Linked DNA regions of Nothobranchius furzeri. The protein of the gene in region 2 purifies or fractionates together with the protein of the main gene of each other region. This does not show direct contact. Links are inferred from orthologs where the notes say so. Each region holds a gene or a part of one and is shown on either strand. Other genes may lie near its edges. The genes, in order: stk38a, smurf1 and smad6b.

Region 1 (7,484 bases), on a different chromosome or scaffold from region 2:
AGAACAATAACAGACGTCAGCGTGATCCAGGAGCTCACCTCTTCATCAGCCAGACCCTCCTGGTCCATCACCTTCTCCAGCTTCTGCTGCCTGGTGACACAATTTAAGATGTGGTTCACTTGTTTAATCAGCACATCTGCAGTGGTCTGTAACGGGAACAAATGCTCTCCAAGTCGTTCTCTGAGGGAAAAGCTCAGATGCACCTGTTTCAGTACAAGCCAGCTTCAGACGACAGGATCTGGACTCCTGTGGTCCTTACACACTCGCATCCGCTCCACCCCGCCTGGACCGGGTTGGGAGTGTTCTCAAAACTGTGTGTACTGAAACTCTTAATTTCCCTCTGGGATTAATAAAGTATCTTTGAATTGCATTTAGGAAGCCATGAATTTTCCCAACAGACGTCTTTCCAGTCCTCTTCTCGAGGAGGTCTGCCTGGAGTGGAACAGGGCCCACATGCCTACTGCTGACTGGCTGGCTCAAAAGCACGCCTACCATTAGGGGGAGCCTCCGATTGGTCGGATAGAATCAGCCCAGCGATTCGTTATCATTCTGGATGCTGAGGGGGTAACGACCCTCTGTGTGTAGGACGCACACACACCCTAACCTAAAGTAAAAGCTAATTTACACCATACCTTTAAGACCAAGTGTTAGGGTGCTTCACCAGCAAAATGTCCATGCACGCACACGCACACACACACACACACACACACACACACACACACACACACACACACACACACACACACACACACACACACACACACACACACACCTTTAGATCATGAAAAGCCATTTAAGACTAAAGAAGATACTTAAACACAAACACAACTGATGTGTGAGTCTAACACATAATTGAATAAAGTGTGTTTGCACTCACACACACGTTCCTAGCTGTGATTAAGCGCCAAGCTAAAAACCACCAAATCCCAGGAAAGGTCAAGCCTTCCTTCCAGCAGGAAATCTAATCCAGTAAAATTATCCAACTTCTCGTTTTAGATCTAATAAATTCATAACTTTTATTTAATGACCCTCTTGTTGTTGTCCACTCAACGCACCAAAGACACCTGCTGACACACAGATGGTTCCCACTTCCACCCACAGTGGAAATGGAAAGGAGAACTGGAGTCCACGGGGGAATAACACAGAGCCACGGGTTCTGATAAGCAGACAACAGCTGGGTTCTAGGTCAAACTGAAGAAGTAGAACCAAGGAGGACGTCAAAGACAAGCGAGAGTTCCACCAAGAGGAACAGGAACCGCTATCTGAGCTCTCCAGCATGGAGATGAACATGTCCCCATTGTTCCACAGAGACTGGCTGACCCAGACAAGAGCTGAGCAGGTCAGACTTCCTCACTAGTGACACGTAACAGCTCCTCAGGTCAACACTCACCTGTCCTCCTACAACTCGGAGACAAGAGACGCTCCTCTGAGGACAGTGATAGTGCTTTCTGCTGAACAACATTAAACCATCTGTGTGAAACCAACAGTTGGACTTTTCTCACCGGGTGGTTTCACAAGCAGTACCACCTTAAACACGTGATCTAAAACCACACGTGTGTTAGCATCAGAACAATAATGGTCCAAATGAGTCACATGATGGGCTGACGTTAATGCGACTGTGGTGAGAACTTCCAACCCTGAGAAGCTTTAGGATGGGAGGCAAAACGTCCTCCAAGAGGAGAAGTCCAGCTGCCTGTTGTTTCAACTCTTGTGAGTAATCTGTGATGCAACTCATCGCAGCAGGAAACGGTCCTGCCCCAACTTCACCGTGACACAACCCACATCCTCCAGTCAGAAACACAAATCCCAACGTCAGGTTGATGACTTCAGCGTGTTAAAACAACCAGAGCTGCTTCACCAATCAGTTCGGAAAAATGTCAAATAGAACAATAAAATGTTTAGAAATATTTAAATAAATCCTGCACCTGCTCTGTTCGGGGCTCTGTCAGAGTTCAAGCCAAGAAGAAAAACAGCTACTTTAAATGTTCAAGCAGGTAAAATCCTTTAAACTTTTAGTTCTGGAAACAAAATGATCAGAGTAGTTTTACCTCATCTCTCTCTCCTCGTGTTGGGCGATCAGGTTACTGTAGAAGTTCTCCAGAGTCACTTTGGCCATGGTGACCCGTTCCTTGGTGTGGTTACTCATGGAGGAGAACGAGCTCTGGCCAGTCATCGCCATACTTTGTCTGGAAAACCAAAACTAAAGTGATCAGAACTTCCTGTCCCCCCCTTAAACTGTGTTGCAGTAAATATAAATAATACATCTGGTAATTATAGGCAGACGGTTGACGTTTTCAATCCAAGCCCTCATACAACATTACAGCAGGCAGCGTCTTAAATTACAGCCTTAAATTACATATCCGTGGAAGATAAACGATAGATGGACAGTTCAGGTTCATTTCCTGTTACATGACAGGTTGAATCCCAGCTTTACGCCACACAACTGGAACAATAACATCTTCTTCTCTCCATCTGTCCAGTTTCTGATGAACAACTTTAGAAATACGAGGAATGAAACTGTGTTTCAGTTGATCTGAATTCAAAAAGCTAATTTATCATCTAACGTATACCTGAGAAAAATTACGACATATCTAAACATTTATATTAAAAATAAACCTCTTGGAAGTTTAAACCTGAAAATGAGAGACTACACCTTTTGAGCACCAGGTAGTGAAGCCAGACTCAACTTAAACTTCCAAAAACTGAAAATATTCCTCTTAGCTTCTTGGAAGCGTCACAAGATCCGTTTTACACAAACGCAAGTCTGACATTTCTAAAGAGCATCAGAGCTGTTCAAGTTAACAGATCACCTGCCTGGAAGGGTTTTTTAAAAAGGTTTAATATGATTTGATTACACTGATAGAGCTTTAAGGGGTTTTTTCCCTCTTGAGGTCAACTTCAAAACAGTTCCAGGGGGTTTGTAAGAAAGAAAACAAGCTGCACGCTCCAGCTCGCAGCAACAATTCTCTGTTAAAATGAACCTGGGCTGAACTTAAAAACTGGAACTAAACGATGAGAAAACGGTTGGCTAAAACAAGAAGAGGAAGGCAGCCATTGAGCAATGCTGTGTCAACTGATAAATGCAGTAAACAACAGAATTATTTAATCATACTTAAGTCGTTTGGATGCGCCAGCTCTGATGCAGGTATCCCAAAAAGGATAGAAGCAGCTTCAGATGACGCAGGTTTTTTAATTCAGAATCAATTTCACCAACACGTAAAAGCCATCATTTTACTACTATGTGCAAACGACTTTTTGAAACGAGGAAACACAAAAAAAATAAAAATAATAAAAAACAATTACATTCACACTGGTAGTTTACTGGCTATTTGAATGACTGAATCCACGACTTCAAAGCTAGCAGCCCATCCCCGAGGCTTCTGTAAAACATCTTCATAACATTTGCATGAACGCAAAAAGGTAGTCTGCCCTGTTAAGTAGGTCTAAACTTAAACTGGGTGTGTTTCAAAGTCAAAATTACCTTGAATAAAGTGTTTTATTTCCTGCTCAATTAAACATTAAGTCACAAGTCGGTGGTAAAAAGCAAACAATGAGGGGAAGTTTAAATAATCACTAAACTGACCTAACCAGCCCTGAAAAAAAACGTAGCTAGTTTCGGTTGGAATGTAATGCCGCAGTTAGATAACTTTCATTAGAAGGAATCCCTTAAAGTCCTTAACCCACGAAGTTAAACATTACCTGGTTTCCTGTTGAGATAATAAATTTTACTTTTCCCTAACTTTCAGGTTCGTAAACAAACGTCTTATCCCGCTAACAGCACTCAGCTAGCTAGTTAGCTATTAAAGTTCTTGGCTTCATCAAGCTAGTCCGGAGAAGTAATGACAATGCCGGAAATATTTTCAAAATAAAGCTCCCCTCGACAAAGCAACAATGACTTAAAGGCATAATCATAAAGTGGACTTTTAATTTGACAGTCTTTACCGGAAATTCCTCATACGTTTAAACAAGTCTTACAAGTAGAAGTTCTTTAAGCCAACAGCTAAGTGAAAGTTAGCAAGTAAACGCTGTTTGCTACCCGAGGTCTTTGTGTGCAAACTGACCTTCATGCGGTGGAAAACAGTCAACAATAACTTCAGAACTAAACTAAAAGTCCGCCATGCTAACTAGTAGTGGTTTATTCCGTCTGTCATGTCAGTCTTTGTTCGCTTACCTTGATCGAAGGTGGGGTATCTGCCGCGTCTCTTGCTCTACACCGAGGGCGGTGCATCCTCCTCGCTTTCTACTCAGTTGCCACCTAGCGGCTCCGAGTGGACCTGTCAATTTATTTATTTACTTTTATTTAACCAGATGAGTCAACTTTGTCTTTTTGTCAATAATATGATCAAACATTTCTGTACTTAGCTAAATCTATTTTACTCTACTGTATATTGTTAAAATATAAATGTACTTATTTTATTTTATATGATCGCATGTGCCATTTTTATCTCTATTAAAAATTATATATTATATATATTCGTCGTCTTCCTCCGCTTATCCGGGTCCGGGTCACGGGGCAGCATCCCAACTAGGGTGCTCCAGACTGTCCTCTCCCCGGCCACCTCCACCAGCTCCTCCGGCAGGACCCCAAGGCGTTCCCGGACCAGATTGGAGATGTAACATCTCCAGCGTGTCCCGGGTCGACCCGGGGGCCTCCTGCCGGCAGGACATGCCCGAAACACCTCCCCAGGGAGGCGTCATGGGGCATCCTGACCAGATGCCCAAACCACCTCAACTGGCTCCTTTCGATCCGGAGGAGCAGCGGTTCTACTCCGAGTCCCTCCCGAATGTCCGAGCTCCTCACCCTATCTCTAAGGCTGAGCCCGGCCACCCTACGGAGGAAACTCATTTCGGCCGCTTGTATCCGCGATCTCGTTCTTTCGGTCATTACCCAAAGCTCATGACCATAGGTGAGGATTGGGACGTAGATCGACCGTTAAATCGAGAGCCTGGCTTTCTGGCTCAGCTCCCTCTTCACCACAACAGATCGGCTCAGCGTCCGCATCACTGCAGACGCCGAACCGATCCACCTGTCGATCTCCCGATCCCTCCTACCCTCACTCGTGAACAAGACCCCGAGATACTTAAACTCCTCCACTTGTGGTAGGACCTCTCCCCCGACCCGGAGTTGGCAAGCCACCCTTTTCCGGTCGAGAACCATGGTCTCAGATTTGGAGGTGCTGATCCTCATCCCAGCCGCTTCACACTCGGCCGCGAACCTACCCAGCAAGAGCTGAAGGTCAGAGCTGGATGAAGCTAGGAGGACCACATCATCCGCAAAAAGCAGAGACGAGATTCTCCTGCCACCAAACTCGACACACTCCACACCACGGCTGCGCCTAGAACTTCTGCCCATAAAGGTAATGAACAGAACCGGTGACAAAGGGCAGCCCTGGCGGAGTCCAACCCTCACCGGGAACAGGTCCGACTTACGACCTGCGGACCAAACTCACGCTCCTCTGGTAAAGGGACTGAATGGCCCTTAACAGAAAGCCACCCACCCCATACTCCTGGAGCGTCCCCCACAGGGTGCCCCTGGGGACACGGTCATAAGCCTTCTCCAAATCCACAAAGCACATGTGGATTGGTTGGGCAAACTCCCATGCCCCCTCCATCACCCTTGCAAGGGTATAGAGCTGGTCCACAGTTCCACGGCCAGGACGAAAACCACATTGCTCCTCCTCAATCTGAGATTCAACTATCGATCGGACCCTCCTCTCCAGTACCTTGGAGTAGACCTTTCCAGGGAGGCTGAGGAGTGTGATCCCCCTATAGTTGGAACTCACCCTCAGGTCACCCTTCTTAAAGATGGGGACCACCACCCCGGTCTGCCACTCCCTAGGAACTGCCCCCGATGACCACGCAATGTTGCAGAGACGTGCCAACCATGACAGCCCTACAACATCCATAGCCTTGAGATACCCAGGACGAACCTCATCCGCCCCCGGGGCTCCGCCGCTGTGTAGTTGTTTGACTACCTCAGCAACTTCTGCCCCCGAGATTGGACAGTCCATCCCCAGGTCTCCCGGCTCTGGTTCCTCCTCGGAATGCGCGTAGGTGGGATTGAGGAGCTCCTCCAAGTATTCCTTCCACCGTCCGACTATAGCCTCAGTTGACGTCAGCAGCTCCCCATCCCCACTGTAAACAGTGTGAGCGAGTTGCTGCCTCCCTCTCCTGAGGCGCCGGACAGTTTGCCAGAACCTCTTTGGAGCCGATCGAAAGTCTTTCTCTGGCTGCTTTTCCCAAAAGATGTAAAAATATGTAAATAAATCCTCTAAAGGTTTCACAAGAAAAAAAAAATCATAAGTGGAAAAACTAAAAGTAGAAATGAAAGCACGAATGGATCCTACATATTCTCCCCACTCTTTAAATGGTTGCTTTTAGAAAACTATTTGTAATGAGCATAAATTAAATGTTTTAGCAACCTGAAGGTTTTCCTAAAAATGTAATCACCGTTTAAACGTCATCTGAACTTTTCAACACAAGATCAAACACATCATGTTCAGATGTCTTTATTATAACAAAAACATCATCCTGAGTCCCACCACGTGAGGCGAATATGTTCTATTACTTTAATGAGAACTATTGTTTAATCATAAAAGACAGACCAGCCTTCCAGAGGAATCTCCATCACACCGTTCACAAACACCCAGCAGGTGGCGCTGTGGGCATGTAGAAAATACAGCTGTGTTGGAAAAAGTCCAGCAGCCAAACAGATTCATTTCAGTGGGTTTAACATCATTAACGAGTCACATGCCTGCTGGTTATCAGTCCTCCAAGGCCTGATAATCCCCCGTTGGTCCAAAAATGACTGCACGTGTAAAAACAGAGACGTTTCAGAAGTGGCCGGATTCTGAAAACTGGGATTTTTTTCCCAAACAGAACATCCCGGTCCTCCTCAGACCCAACAACCCCCTCAGGCAGAAACAGGTGCACCCAAACCTGAGCTGAGTGGGTAACCGAACATCCACACAAACACGGGAGAGACAACCCTTCAGGTGATTATTCCACAGAGCATTTACTTCTTAAAGAGAACAGACTAACTTGCATTAATTAAGTTTTAATTACCTAGGACTCCATCACTTATTTTGAAGTGATAAAAAACTGTCTTCAGGAAATAGACACGTCCAGTTGCATTTTTCTGCATCTAATAAAACATTGTTTTTATCATCAAATAAAAGGAAATAGATTTTTTCCCCAAACAATTTACATATTTAAATAATTTCAACATTTCCTCTTCCAGCCATCAGAGGGCACTGGAGCACCACCAACAGATCACCATTTAGAGGATGTGACTATATCTAAAGTACAGGCAGATCTGAGTCCAAATGGATGTTAATTCACCTTTCAGGGTCTTTAGGGCGACTCTTGCTTCTGGGAACAGCTGATGTATGAGGATTTGGGTCACACATCTGGGTTCAAACACCAGTTTTACACACTGAGTCAAGCTCTCTAAACCAATATTTATTATTCATCAGTGAAGTCAG
Region 2 (6,740 bases):
GTGGGAAAATGTCATCAGGCAGTAATCATTGTTAAATTCATAATTATTCTCGGAGAGAGACCAACTCTTATCTGCCCCTGGGAGCCCCGTAATGCATAGCGTCAGTTCAACATGGGGGTGTCCGCGACACGGTTTATATGCAGGTAGCGGCGCTGCGGCTGCTTTATATACAGGGTATCCGCGGGTCCTTAAAAAGTCTTAAAAAGTCTTAAATTTGCTTTTCCAAATTTAAGGCCTTAAAAATCCTTAAAAATGATAAATAATCCTTAAATACAGTTTCCAAAGGTCTTAAATTACCAAAGACCCAATTAATAAGACTCTTTTATTTCTTTTTTTTTTTTTTGTTGTTGTGAATTTCTAGTTTGTGTTCAGCATTTTTTGTGTATGACATTTGCAAAAGTGGAACCGTACACATTCAGTTGGTTGTGAAAAGGGGCTATTTTTAGATGAGCACATTAGCTGGTTAAGCTAGTGGGAGCTTGCGCCATGGGGAAGTGCAAGTTTAATGGTATCTAGATGGCTAATCCCACGTTTGCAACGTGGTTAGCACCGGTTCCAGGCAATAGCAGGAAATTATAGCTTAAATTTAATTGAAAAAAAAAAAGCTTAAATTGGTCAAAGTGGCCTTAAAAAGGTCTTAAAAAGTCTTAAATTTGGCTCCCTTAAACCTGCAGATACCCTGTATATAGCGACTCGTTGCATTCTCCCTTAGCCCAAATCCTCAGATCACGCATTTTAGCTAAAACGCTAACGCTAGCTTGCCTTGCGTTGACTGTAGAGTTGTGGGTGATGGTCACACAGATGTGTCATGAGATTTGAAGCGTTGCTGCCTTTCACAGACACTTTTTCTGCACGTGCTGCAAACAGGATAGCAGTCTTCTATAAACTGTCCTCCGGCATTCTTCAAATACCCAAAAAATGCCCGTACTTCCCACTTTGTCTTCTTTGAGGGATAATAAATGTCCTGCGCGCTGCCGTCTCCTCCTTTGGCCATTATTTCAGCTTTAGCTTCAAGAAAGTTTTGGTTGTAAACAACAAAGCGCGCATGTGCTGCCGGCAACTTCAGCAGATGATACGGTGGCTGGTAAGGGTCACCGCGCCTACACCGCAGCCACGGTAAACCCACCGAGATCTTTTTTTTTTTTTTAAAAACAAGACTGTTATTATTATTGTCAACTTTTTTACCGGGGTTTACCGCTACACCGGTTACCGTGACAACCCTACTCTCCGGTTGCAAATGTGGTATTCTGGCTACTGGGGCTGAGAGACCCTTACATTAACCCTGTAAAGGGTCATTTTAGCACATGCTGGCTCAAGAAACTTATTTAAAAATGTTTAAAAAATTACATAGTTTCCCTTTAATCTGAGTTTAAGAGTCAAAGGAGAAAATCCATCTTTTAAAAAAGGTGATGGAGAATAACTGGAAATGGGTGACCAGCTGAGCCGTCTCAGCCATGACCTTGGCTGGTGGGAGGTTTTCTCTGAAAGAGCCTGTCTCACACACACACAGAGCACCACAAGAGAGCTGGTCAAGAGGCGGAAAGAAAACGATGAATAGATGCATTTAGAGGTGTCTGTCTCTGGGAGGAGTTTGGAAGATTAGAGGTTTGGATGGCTCAGCAGGACAGAGACGGGAGACAGGAGAGACTTCCTGTATGGATTCAGTGAAAGAAGAGTCAGAGTTCAGACACTCGACTCTTTTCCTCTCTGGGTATTTTATTGTGTCTGATAAAAAGATGAGGTCTGGGGGAGGAATGTGTGAGTCAGATGGAGGAGCAATGAAAGAGGTTGACGAGGAAAAGGGAAGGATATCCTGCAGCCATTCTCCGTTGGTTAATCACAGGAAATAGGCCCGGCTACGCCAGACACATGTACGCCACCTCCTTCATCACATCCCACAGCACAGACTTCTTAGGAAGTCTCAGATCCTGGGAGGAAAAAGGCAAACCGTGAAAACCATTAATATTATTATTCTAATGGTTTTCTAAACTGCTCAGCAAGAGTCTAAATTAGTAATATTTCAATCGCATTTTTTCGCTCCTGATCCGAGTCCAAGTCGCTTGTTTTTGTGCGTCTGCTGGATACAGAGTCCCAGTCCGAGACTTGAGCGAAGCGTTGAAACAAGAAGATAAAAGGAGAACACATCCAAGTTCTCCTTTTAAGTTTTCTTTATTTTATTTATGTATTTCTTTCTGTATTTGTCATTTCCTTAGTCTATCTGCAGAGGAAACATTCAGGAAGTATGTTAGTATGAAAAGTTAATATCACAAGTATATATAAAATGAGCCTTGTCGCTCATTTCAAATTGATTGCGTCCTCAATATGCATCTGTGTTGTATTGTTCCTGAGGCGGGGCGGCGGCATGGCTGGCGGCTCACTTTTCTTTGCACAACACCTACCTACCGCAGCTCAGCTGCTCCAGCAGGCTGAATCCCAACATTTTGTTGTTTGTCACCTATTTTTGATATACCCATATTGTCTTACTCTTACAGGACAGCAGTAGCCCAGTAGGTAGAGTGGGTTGTCCAGTAATCAGACGGTTGCAGGTTTGATCCCGGCTCTGACCAGATAATGCTTCTGTTGTGTCTTTGGGCAAGACAGTTAACCCACGTTGCCTGCTGGTGGTGGTCGGAGGGACCTGTGGGGGCAGTGTTTGGCAGCCCCGCCTCTGTCAGTGCGCCCCAGCGCAGCTGAGGCTACATCACAGCTCATCCCCACTAGCGTGTGAATGGGTGAATGACTGATTGTGTTGCGAAGCGCCTTGGGGGGGTTATAGAACCCATTTAATTTCTGACACTGATATATGCAACTCATAAAAGAACAATAACTAAATAATTTTAGGATAATCGCTTTTTTTTTCATTTCAGGCACAACAAAATATATATATATAAAACATAAAGTGCACAAAAACAAGAAACAAAAATTACCTGAAAAGAAGTGGGATGAAGAAAACTTATTAAATCCCACCCCTGCTCTCACCTCAGACCTATAGTAGGGTTGTTACGGTGTGAAAATGTAACCTCGTGGTTATTCTGACCAAAATTATCACGGTTTTCGATATTATCGCGGTATTTTTTTAAACATGTTAAATTTTCAGGGTTACTAAATAAACAACAAATATTGTCCTCAGTTTGTGTCTAAAATTTGCCTAAAATGTGTTATTTTGTAATTATGTTGTTTATTTGTTTACATTTTTCCCCTTTAGTCTTTAAAATACCAATATTTGCCCATAACTTCTTATTTGTTGTCTGTTTGATGTCATCATTTTAAAAATATTAGATCAGATGATATTCAGTACTCTATGGACAAAAGGAGGAGACGGCAGCGCTCAGGACATTTATTATCCCTCAAAGAAGACAAAGTGGGAAGTACGGGCATTTTTTGGATATTTGAAGAATGCCGAGGGACGGTTGATAGAAGACGGCTATCCTGTTTGCAGCACGTGCAGAAAAAGTGTCTGTGAAAGGCAGCAACACTTCAAATTTCATGACACATCTGCGTGACCATCACCCACAAATCTACAGTTAACGCAAGGCAAGCTAACGTTAGCGTTTTAGCTAAAATGCGTGATCCGAGGATTTGGGTTGAGGGAGAATGCAACGAGTCGCTATATAAAGCAGCCGCAGCGCCGCTACCTGCATATAAACCGTGTCGCGGACACCCCCATGTTGAAATGACGCTATGCATTACGGGGCTCCCAGGGGCAGATAAGAGTTGGTCTCTCTCCGAGAATAATTATGAATTTAACAATGATTACTGCCTGATGACATTTTCCCACATCTGCAAAGCTCACTGGAACACAAACCGAGGACAATATTTTCCTGATTTAAGGTTTATTACTCAAGTAAGGGTAAAAAAGTATCTGATTAGAAGGCTACTTGAGTACTGAGTACCATCTGGTCTAATATTTTTAAAATGATGACATCAAACAGACAAAAAATAAGAAGTTATGGGCAAATATCGGTATTTTAAAGACTAAAGGGGAAAAATGTAAACAAATAAACAACATAATTACAAAATAAAAAAATTTAGGCAAAATTTAGACACAAACTGAGGACAATATTTTCCTGACATACAGGGTTTATTTAGTTGTCTGAAAATGTAACACGTTTAAAAAAAATACTGAGATAATACCGAAAACCGTGATAATTTTGGTCACAATAACCGTGAGGTTAAATTTTCACACCGTGACAACCCTAGAAGTAGCTGCTGGCTCCTGATTCGCCATCCTTTTGAAAATACTGCGGCGTATTCTGGGGAATTTTTGACACAGGCCAGGTTTGAATACACCTTCTGTGTATCCTTGCTCAGCTAGCTAAAAGGCTAACAAACGAAGAACACGCGCCTCGGTAGAACATGAGCAATTTGGAGCAGCCTTGGCGGTTCCTGATGATGTATCTCCTAGGCAACCGGGGTAGGACCAAGACATCAAGGCGAGGTTCCTTGACACTGAGGAACGGACCTTACCTTCCTCCTGAGAAGTTCTTCTCTGCTGGTTGGGTTGTGTGCAGTCCTGGCAGCGACACTGCCCCCGGGTGTTCATGTGCTGCATTGCAGTTAAAAACATCCGAGTTAAGATAAAGAAAAAACCTGTATTGATGATTTTTTAGATAAATTTCAGCTTAAAGCATAACTAATTGTTGGTTTCTGCTGTGATGGGTGTCGTGTTTTAGTTTCTTAGTTTTTCTGCTCATTGAAATTCAAACCTGCATTCTTCCTCCTCCGAATCTTTTTCTGCACCAGATTTCATGGCAGCAGCCCACACGCCATCATTAACTACATGTTTATGCATGTGACATTTTCTTCATACTTTCTCTTTTTGTTTATTGTAGTATTGTGTGCCAAGAACCTCGCAAAGAAAGACTTCTTTCGTAAGTATTTTTACGTCAGTGTTTTTGTAAATATTATTATTTTGTTGCAACAATGGAAACAGAGAGCTGGTGTGTGTGTGTGTGTGTGTGTGTGGGTGCAGGTCTACCAGATCCATTTGCCAAGGTGGTGGTAGACGGATCGGGCCAGTGCCACTCCACCGACACCGTCAAGAGCACACTGGATCCCAAGTGGAACCAGCACTATGACCTGTGAGTTTCCTTTCTGTAAAGATGTTTGACCTTGATGAAAATGTCACAATATATTCAAAATGATGAATGGAACTTGTTCTCCAGCTACATCGGGAAGACGGACTCCATCACCATCAGTATATGGAACCATAAGAAGATCCACAAACGACAGGGGGCGGGGTTTCTGGGCTGCATACGGCTGCTTTCCAACGCCATCAGCAGGCTAAAAGACACAGGATGTAATTCTAATTCGTCGTGGTTTAAAACTTTCCTTTGACTCATTTATCATGACTGAGATTAAAACCCTGAGTTTGCTTCCTCCTCCAGACCAGCGGTTAGATCTCTGTAAGCTGAACCCCTCTGACAGCGATGCAGTCAGGGGTCAGATTGTAGGTAAGACTATTTGTCCAAAACGGTGTTTTTCTCGCGTCGTCCCTTCCTGTCCCTCGCCCTGTCAGCACTTTAATCTGGTCGTTCTTGTTGTTTACAGTTAGCCTACAAACACGAGACCGCATCGGCAGCGGCGGGCCGGTGGTGGACTGTAGAGGCCTGCTGGAAAATGAGGCGTAAGTGTGTTGCCACGTGTTTTTGCTGAATTTATCAAACTCCATCCTGTGAATAAGGTCACCACAAAATTTGGGAGCAAAATATGTTTTCTTACTGGTTTGATCACCGTTAGTTTAAGCTGTGAGGTTTGTTTTCTTTTTGGTGCAGGCCTGTTTTTGAGGGATGTTTCAGCGAGGAGCCGCTCCCCTACTCTGACCCCACTGGTGCTGCGGGAGGCGGGAACTGCCGGCTGGACTCCCCAAATCAGGAGAGCCGTCTTCCATCGCAGCGAATCAGGGGGCAGGACTCCAGAGGTCACGGCCACACCCCTCAGAACAGACCGCACGGGCATCAGCCGCCTGACCTGCCGGAGGGATACGGTTAGTTTAACAGCAAAGGTTTTATCCAACCCAAACTTGACTCAGATAGTTTCTAAGGCCGTTTTATCTGTTTTTGCTTTAAAAACAGAGCAGAGAACAACAGTTCAGGGGCAGGTGTACTTCCTTCACACACAGACAGGGGTCAGCACCTGGCACGACCCTCGGATACCACGGTGAGCGATCACACACTGCTGCTTCTCTCACTCTCCAAACATCACCCATATGGAACTAGGATTGGGACAATTTTACATGTAACTTGTACCAAGCTTTGTAACCCGTAACATGTTTTGTAACTGCAACTTTCGTTTTGTAACACGTAACATTTGGTACATAACTTGAAACTTTCATTTTGTAACTTTCAGAAAAAAAGTCAGTGCACAAGTTCCAAATCACAAGTTTCAAAACACAAATCTCAGTCTACAGTTACAAAACATTTTGTCCCAATTCTAGCTTCCTTCTCAAAGAACCAATGACGGGCTTTGTCTGACCAGCCAATCATGAGTCTTAGATTCCTGTCGAGGACAATTCCTGTTGGAAGCAAGCTAGAATTGGGACAAAATGTGTTGTACTTGTAGACTGAGATTTGTGTTTTGAAAGTTGTGATTTGGAACTCGTGCATTGATTTTTTTCTGTAAGTTACAAAATAAAAGTTTCATGTTACTTACCGAAGTTGCATGTTACAAACTGAGAATTACATGCTACAATACTAAAGTTACATGTTACAAAACATGTTACAAGTCACATGTAATAATGT
Region 3 (7,284 bases), on a different chromosome or scaffold from region 2:
TCAACAACATGTGAGTACAGGACTGGCAAAGATGGTTTCTAAGCAGGACATATTCTGGGAATCACAATCTTCCTTGAGAGTATAGTTATTACCAGATTTCACTTATAAACAGTGTTTTCTTTTTAATGGTCATGCATTTAAGAAAATAAGTTGTGTTTACCAGATCCTCCAAGCAGCAAAGAACACCTCCGCAACTGCTTACTGCTGGGTGTTCTTGTTATATAAGTGGTGCTTTTTTACTCCAGACATGATTCATGGATATAAATTGTTTTTAACTGATCTATAAAAATATTATCAGGTACCTAAAAGTGTGTTCAGCTTTTTTTCTCCAACTGTAATTCAACCTGTGCACACTTTTTTATTTAAAGGTGTGGGAAACCCATTTAATCGATTTGTTTGCAGTGGTTTCTAGTAGGAATTAATGCCTTGTAAGTCATACCCTGGGGGGAAAATATACCGGGGCACCATTTTCAGGAACTAGTTGTTAACCACATCATAGCTGAGCTTTAGACAATGGTCTTATTTCCTGATATTTGAACATCTCGCTCCGGATTGGATAACAGCAACGCGACTCTTTCACTCACTTCAAAGTTTATGTTTTATCTCCACAAATAACAGCATGGAGGTTTTCTGCTGTGTAGTGGTGTTGCTAATGCTAATGGTTAGCTTCTACTTGCATGCTAATGGTTAGCTTCTACTTGCTAAGATGTTATCCGCTGTTTCCTGGACGCTAAACCCACAACACCATTCCCCATCACGAGTCACGATGGGTGAGTCCATTAATACTTAGTGATATTGTGATGTAGATCTGTCGAGCTTTTCAAAACCAGGATTTTCACCAAACCATCACTGTCAGAGGCTAATGCAGGAGATAAGTGTAGGAGACTGTCATGTTCAGCCTGCATGAAAAACTCAGAGCGACTGATTATAATCTGGAATAATTATTTTAAAAATGTGTTTTAAGTGTTCCACACCTTAAAGTCTTTGCACTCTTCCAAATTAAACAAGCATGATCAATTAAAAAAACATTCATAACCACATAAAATACATGGAAAGACTTCAAATGTAACAGAGTTTATTATTGTTTTTGTCTCTTACCCAGTGGCTTGTGTTCTTCGTTAGGGGAAAGCCTTGAATATGGAGGAGGAGGTGACTCTGCACACAAAACAGTAATATAAATATCCAAATTACACAATGAAAAGTCTTCTGTAAATCAAAATCTTCAGTTAAACAGAGCAGAATAAAGCAGGACGTTAAAGAATGTCGGATGAAGACTTCTAGCTCTGCTTCTTTGCGTACTAAACTGTAAAGACTTGTGTTCTGACAAGACAAACTTGAGTATTTTTATAGTATTACACGCATTACATGCATACCACACGTTGAATGAGATTCTGTTTGAAGTTGTGATCAAAGTCTTTCATAAAAAGGGAAAAGGAAGAGGACACTCATGCACAACTTGACTCAAGCCACAACAGTCGCGTCAACACATGAGACAACAGATCAGTGTCAAGAGTACCAGACTTCTTCATAATGTATTTGACATCTTTTAGTTCACAAGCTAGTTTAAAAGCTCATAAAACCAACAGAACATTTGCTCTTCTGGTTTAAGCATGTGAACAGCAGATAGTATAAAAGCCACTGCCTCCAAACAGCTCGACTTTATCTCATAAAACAGGACTGGAGAGCACAAGGGGGACAGCACAAAGGAGAGAAAAGTTTGTGAGCATGCCGTGACCTCGTCTGTGGGGGGGAGAAATGGGAAGGAGGCAAGCATAATAGCAGCGGGTCTTTTAAGAGTGGCGGCAGTAATTGCCAGGATCTGAACTCAGTCACTCAGATACACAGCGAGTCAGTCTGGCGCCAGCAGTATGCAAACTGTATATTATCACCACTCCTTCACCTAAATAGCATGAGGGGACCTCCTCGGGACAAAAGGGCTTTTAAAGTGCAACTTGAAACTGATCTCATTCGAAAAGTATAAAGCCTGGCCAAATAAAAGGGAAAAGTTTCTGTCCAATTCAAGCTCTTTGCCTGTGTTAAAACTCACACGTAAACAAGTCAACCTGACTGCAATTCAAACCGCTTTCTTAGACGTGTTTAGAATTTGGTCAAACCCAATCTTATTCTGTTCAATTCAGGGACTTCTCCTCCATTCCCATTTACAAACATTGTCAGCAGCAGTGATTAAGGTCCACATTCAATGGCCTTCTTCTTCAAATAGCGCGAAAGAAATACCAGCTCTATCTTGCCACGCATGAGCGCATGTGAGTTATGTCCACTACGAGCCTCAGTCCCAATATGGGGTTCATGCCTCTCTCTGCTTTACAGCTCATCATCTCGGAGGTTTGAGTCGGGGAGGAAGATCCCACAGCATGGCCTCCAATCCACACGAGCAGATGGAACAGATTTATTCAGCTCAAACATCATAATTCTTCCAGAACTGACACATTTGTGATTAAGTAACCAAGAAAGCCAAAGGCAAACAATGTGCCTTTGGCCTTCCACAATATGGATCCCAATAATTTCTTGCCTCATGTCTTTTGGAGTGCGTGTCATGGGGAGCATGGCTCTAATAAATGTGGATGTTATGGAAAATCCTCCACCGGTGCCAGTGAGGTGACAGAAATACTGATGCTTGCATCTTCACACACGAAGCCAGGCCTCGTCACGGGGGGTCAGCGGGGTTGAGTCGCCCAGGTTTTCCATCACGGGCCAACCCCAGCCAACATTTAATCTCTTTAATATAGGTCAGGGAGGTTGTGCCTTAGAGATCTCTCTCTCCCTCCCTCTCTCTCTGCAAATAAACCGACCTGTGGCAGCAGGTTCAAGCCTTAGAATGAGTCTAATAGTTCACACTAACTCAAAACAGTTGTAAGAACTCAAAGCAGATGTACTGACCAACACTTATTCACAACCACCAATACTGGCTGCTAGATTTCACAGTAAAAGTGCTTTGCGAGTAACATGAACACTGATCTAATAGGTCAGCGTGTGTGATGCGCTGTTATGACATAAAAGTTAGTTAAATAGAACTTTGCAAGCCTTAAACTAGTGATCACCTCAAATATGTGCCATGTTAATGTAAACAGAACTGTCATCAGACATTATCAATATTTTGACATTTATTCACAAATATGGATTAGAGCTGTTCATAATGCCATTTTTCCTGACTGTTGTAAATATTTTATAGCTCATGAGATGTCCGTTTGTTTTGTTATATAAACTAAAAACGTCATCAGTGTCTTTATGGGGTGTTTTTTGATCTGTAAAGAAGCAGAAGAAGGTTGTGGTGCTGATGTCCTTACCTGGGCCACAGAGTCGGCTGTAGTGATAGGGGTTGCAGCACACTGTTGGACTGTCCGGAACCCCAAAGCTCCTGCACTCACACAGCAGTTTGAGCTGGGCTGACTGTTGCAGGTCGGGCCAGCGGTACACTTTACACGCCAGCAGCTGAGGGGACGCCACATGTCCGCCCAAAATCAGCTCTGTCCTGGAAATCATCACACAGTCGCTCGGCATGCCACCCCTGGACTCCACCGCCTCCAGTAAAGTATCCAGCGCCCTCTCCTTGAGCCTCTTCAGGAGGGAGTACGTGGCTGATTTCAGCTCCTGCTCCAGCACCGCGCGCGGCATCGCCTCCTGCGCCTCGGGAGAGCCGCTGTCTCCTCCTGGTCCGAGGCTCCTCAACATGAAGTGGCAAGAGCCAGGATCTCTGGCGCCCTGAGCCGTCTCTGCAGCCCTGAGCTCGGAGTGGTCCCGGTCAGTGAACAAGCAGCACGTTACTGTCCTGCACTCGCTGTCCTGGATGGAGCGGGGGCTCCCTCGTTGCTCCCGGACGCACATCGCACCCGCATCTTCTTGGTCCGAAGCGCCGCTGCTCTCCATGGAGCACACACCCCCCACGTCCCTGACTACAGACCCGCCAGAGGGGGTCATCGGTCTGAACTCCGTTTTGGGAATTTTCTCTGGGTTGTTGCAGAACAGATCGTCCCTACAGCCGTCTCCGGTGCTAGTTTTGCCATTTCCATCTCCCCCTTCTTTATCTGGGATCAAACGGCTTCTCCAGAGTCGCCGCACAAGACCTGAACGTTTCGTCCTGAACATACGACAACTTGAATATCTATTAGGTTTTTTGTTATTATTATTTAACGGATATACCACAGATTATTGTGTCTTTGCAGAACATTAATGACGGTGACAGAAACGCCGTGCAGTGCTTGCACAGCCAATTGGAGAGCACTGGTGGCGAAACCGCAACATTAGAGTGGAGGCTATTTTGTTGCATCTAGAGTAACAAAAGCATGCATTAAATGCAATGCAGCATTCTGTTCAATATGCATGCATTCGGCCGATCAGACTGTAAACAACCAGGCGGGTGGAAGCGTGTTTTCTCCAGGATCGCTGCGGAATGGATTGTTTGTGTTTGCTAGGAGTGAATAAAACAGAAAGTCACATAATCCATGTCGGTCAGTCTCAGCCTGAAACAGATTCACTTTTAACGGCTTCAGATCTGCTTTTTGTCACCGGTACAATTGGTAGCATGTACTTCAATGCGATTCATTCCCAAGAAGAAACAAAGTGCACCAAAATCCTTGCTGTCTTTTGGAGACGAAACACTTCTTTCTGGTTATAAATCCCCCAAAAATAAAATAAAATTAAAAAATAATAAAGAAAATCCAGGCGAGAGGAGGAAGCGGACTGATCTGGCGCTGAGTAACTCTCCTTCTCAGATCTAAACCAAACTGAAGCCCAGATCCCTTTCTTTCTCCGTTTCTCGCTCTTTTTTTATTTCACTCCCCCCCTCGTCTTCCTCTCTCTCTCTCTCTCTCTCTCTCTCTCTCTCTCTCTCTCTCTCTCTCTCTCTCTCTCTCTCTCTCTCTCTCACACACACACACACACACACACACACACACACACACACACACACACACACACACACACACACACACACACACACACACACACACACACACACACACACACACACACACACACACGGGGCCCCCGAGGAGAGCGGTGGAGCCATTGGCTGACTACCATCATGTGCTAGTCTAGACACTTTGGCGGCTATGAGCTGCACTGATTGTTGCGCAAACAAGGTTTCAAGTTTCTTAACTCTTAAAGGCGAAACACTCACCTCTCGGGTTTTAAGTCAAAGTTACTGAAACTCTCACATCCTTGATGCGTCTTCTGATGAGAGAAGAAAACAAAGTTAAGAACTTTTATCTATAGTCTATATATTTACTTGAAGTTTAAAGAAGCGAGCATCTGTGATTATTTTATTTCTGGAGTCTGAAGAAAACCTGTAAATTAATTGCGCTGGGAGTGAGAATGTATTGAATTATAACACTCATCACTCTGCACAAGCATTGTAAAAGAAAAACAAAATATGACTTCGTTTTTTGTTTTTACTGTTTTAACCCCACCAAGCAAAAAATGACAATTTAGTTCCAAAAATTATATCTTGGTCGTAATATGTTATGTGGTGATTAGTTAATTCACTAACCGTCTTAAAAAATCAGTTTTAGAACCCCTAATACAAATACACACATCGTAAAGCTATAAAAATGCCATAGTTTTTTAAAATGTTTTTTTTTTTTTGTGATATTAAACGGAGGAGGAGTAGGCACAATCAAGCAGCCTGGCAAGCATGGACGTAGTTTTGCTTTTAGAAGTGGGGGGGACACAACCGATATGAGGACTGGGGGTGGTGGGGAACCTTTACAGTAAGTACAATCGTTTATCACAAATATACATTTGCTAAATGTATATTTGTGATAAACAATTTACAGTGTTAACTTTAGGGTCATGTGATCACCACAAATGTATGTTCTTAAAGCTCACAGCTTCTCAGCAAAAGCAAAGTCCTCAAGCGGAAAACAACCATTTGTGTTTAAGCTTGTTCCCCATTAGAACATACTGTAAAGCCCCCCCCCCCCCATGTCGGTTGTATCCCCCCACTTCTTAAGACAAAACTACGTCCATGCGCGTTCTAACTAAATAGTGCCAGCTACACAGCTTTTTTCAATCAGCTCATGGTCTCTATTTTAGTTACGATATCTTTGTAGTCCTCGTAGGGATTGATGAATAAGTCTTGTTCTGTCTGGATGAAGAACGAGGCTCTGTTCTTTACTTCCATTCTCATTTATCTAGCATCGATTAACAGGGGCTGTCTATGGACACGCGTGAGCCTTGATTGACGATAGGCCGATAGGGAATTGAATCCACCTGAGAATCATTAGTGGAGCCGGCGAAACTGGGAGGGGAGGGGAGCGCTTTGTCAAGCAGGGATTTATCAGGTAGATGTTCTAAAGTCTCTTTCTGGAATACCATCCTGGCAGCTGGAAAAAAAAGTGGGCACATCCTGTTAACAATGTGGAGTGACAGCAAGAATGGCCAATCACATGTTAGCAAGTATCAGAAAAGCCAATAGATGAGCTTATGAACGGTTCTAATGGGAGACAGGCTTCAACACAAGTAGTTGTTTTCCGCTTGGTCCTAGAACTCAACCAGTGTCTATTTAAATTAGCGTAATATCATTTTTGGATGGTAAAAAGTGCATGGGACAAAAGTTTACTTTGGAAAAAGTAGGGGGTGACATGTCCCTCCCCTCCAAAAAAAAAAAAAACATCCATGCTGGCAAGCCAACCTGCTGTGAATGTCTGGCCATGACCCATTGACTCATCTCAGCTATGAAGCAGGATCTACAGTTGTCTTTCAAACTTTCTCTGCATGCTATTGGATAACAATAACAAACACCATGATGTACTCACTGCTACAGATGTCAGTCAACAGGGCAGTTCGCCAAACCATGTCAAAGAAGACACAACTACATCCAATTTCTGAACAAAGCTTTTAATTATCTCCATCTGCATTTGACTCATAGAAAAGCCCAATTCTAAAAGTTCAAGGTTGATGCCAAGGCTGTTTCAAACGAGCCAATGCCATCTTACTTTTGCCCAGTCGCAGTAACATCCCACCCACCTAATTGATTGAGAGCTGTGATTGGCACACCAAACCGAGTACAGATATTAATCAATTTCCCTCTGGGATTAATAAAGTATTTTTGAATTGAATTGAATTGAATATCAGGGAGGGGCTTTAAGTAGAGCTCCAACATGCATTGACAGGTAAGAGGGATTCTATGCTAATTTCCCTTAATGTGACATCACGATCAGGGACTTTTTGAAATGGCTTGTTTTTGGCACATAATTCCCAAAACACATGAGGATTGTGGGGTGATGGTGGCACAGGAGTTAAGAGCTCTCCCTATAATCGAAAGGT

The links.
Region 1: the proteins of smurf1 (region 2) and stk38a purify together in Homo sapiens (affinity purification with western blotting; 3 studies listed by BioGRID, with this or other methods). This does not show direct contact. The link is inferred for Nothobranchius furzeri from reciprocal best matches to the Homo sapiens genes SMURF1 and STK38.
Region 3: the proteins of smurf1 (region 2) and smad6b purify together in Homo sapiens (affinity purification with western blotting; 4 studies listed by BioGRID). This does not show direct contact. The link is inferred for Nothobranchius furzeri from reciprocal best matches to the Homo sapiens genes SMURF1 and SMAD6.

Annotation. Positions count from the first base shown.
Region 1 is NC_091755.1:45,357,754-45,365,237, forward strand, and holds the start of stk38a (serine/threonine-protein kinase 38), read right to left. Parts: upstream 4,572-7,484; 5' UTR 4,172-4,571; exon of another isoform or gene 4,062-4,171; intron 3,994-4,061; exon of another isoform or gene 3,700-3,993; intron 2,187-3,699; 5' UTR 2,180-2,186; coding exon 2,049-2,179; intron 91-2,048; coding exon 39-90; intron 1-38. UniProt on the Homo sapiens protein: Serine/threonine-protein kinase that acts as a negative regulator of MAP3K1/2 signaling. Converts MAP3K2 from its phosphorylated form to its non-phosphorylated form and inhibits autophosphorylation of MAP3K2.
Region 2 is NC_091752.1:65,334,995-65,341,734, forward strand, and holds part of smurf1 (E3 ubiquitin-protein ligase SMURF1), read left to right. Parts: intron 1-4,832; coding exon 4,833-4,871; intron 4,872-4,972; coding exon 4,973-5,081; intron 5,082-5,165; coding exon 5,166-5,299; intron 5,300-5,387; coding exon 5,388-5,453; intron 5,454-5,550; coding exon 5,551-5,626; intron 5,627-5,774; coding exon 5,775-5,986; intron 5,987-6,074; coding exon 6,075-6,159; intron 6,160-6,740. UniProt on the Homo sapiens protein: E3 ubiquitin-protein ligase that acts as a negative regulator of BMP signaling pathway. Mediates ubiquitination and degradation of SMAD1 and SMAD5, 2 receptor-regulated SMADs specific for the BMP pathway.
Region 3 is NC_091744.1:65,940,659-65,947,942, forward strand, and holds the start of smad6b (mothers against decapentaplegic homolog 6b), read right to left. Parts: upstream 4,322-7,284; 5' UTR 4,105-4,321; coding exon 3,306-4,104; intron 1,156-3,305; coding exon 1,099-1,155; intron 1-1,098. UniProt on the Homo sapiens protein: Transforming growth factor-beta superfamily receptors signaling occurs through the Smad family of intracellular mediators. SMAD6 is an inhibitory Smad (i-Smad) that negatively regulates signaling downstream of type I transforming growth factor-beta.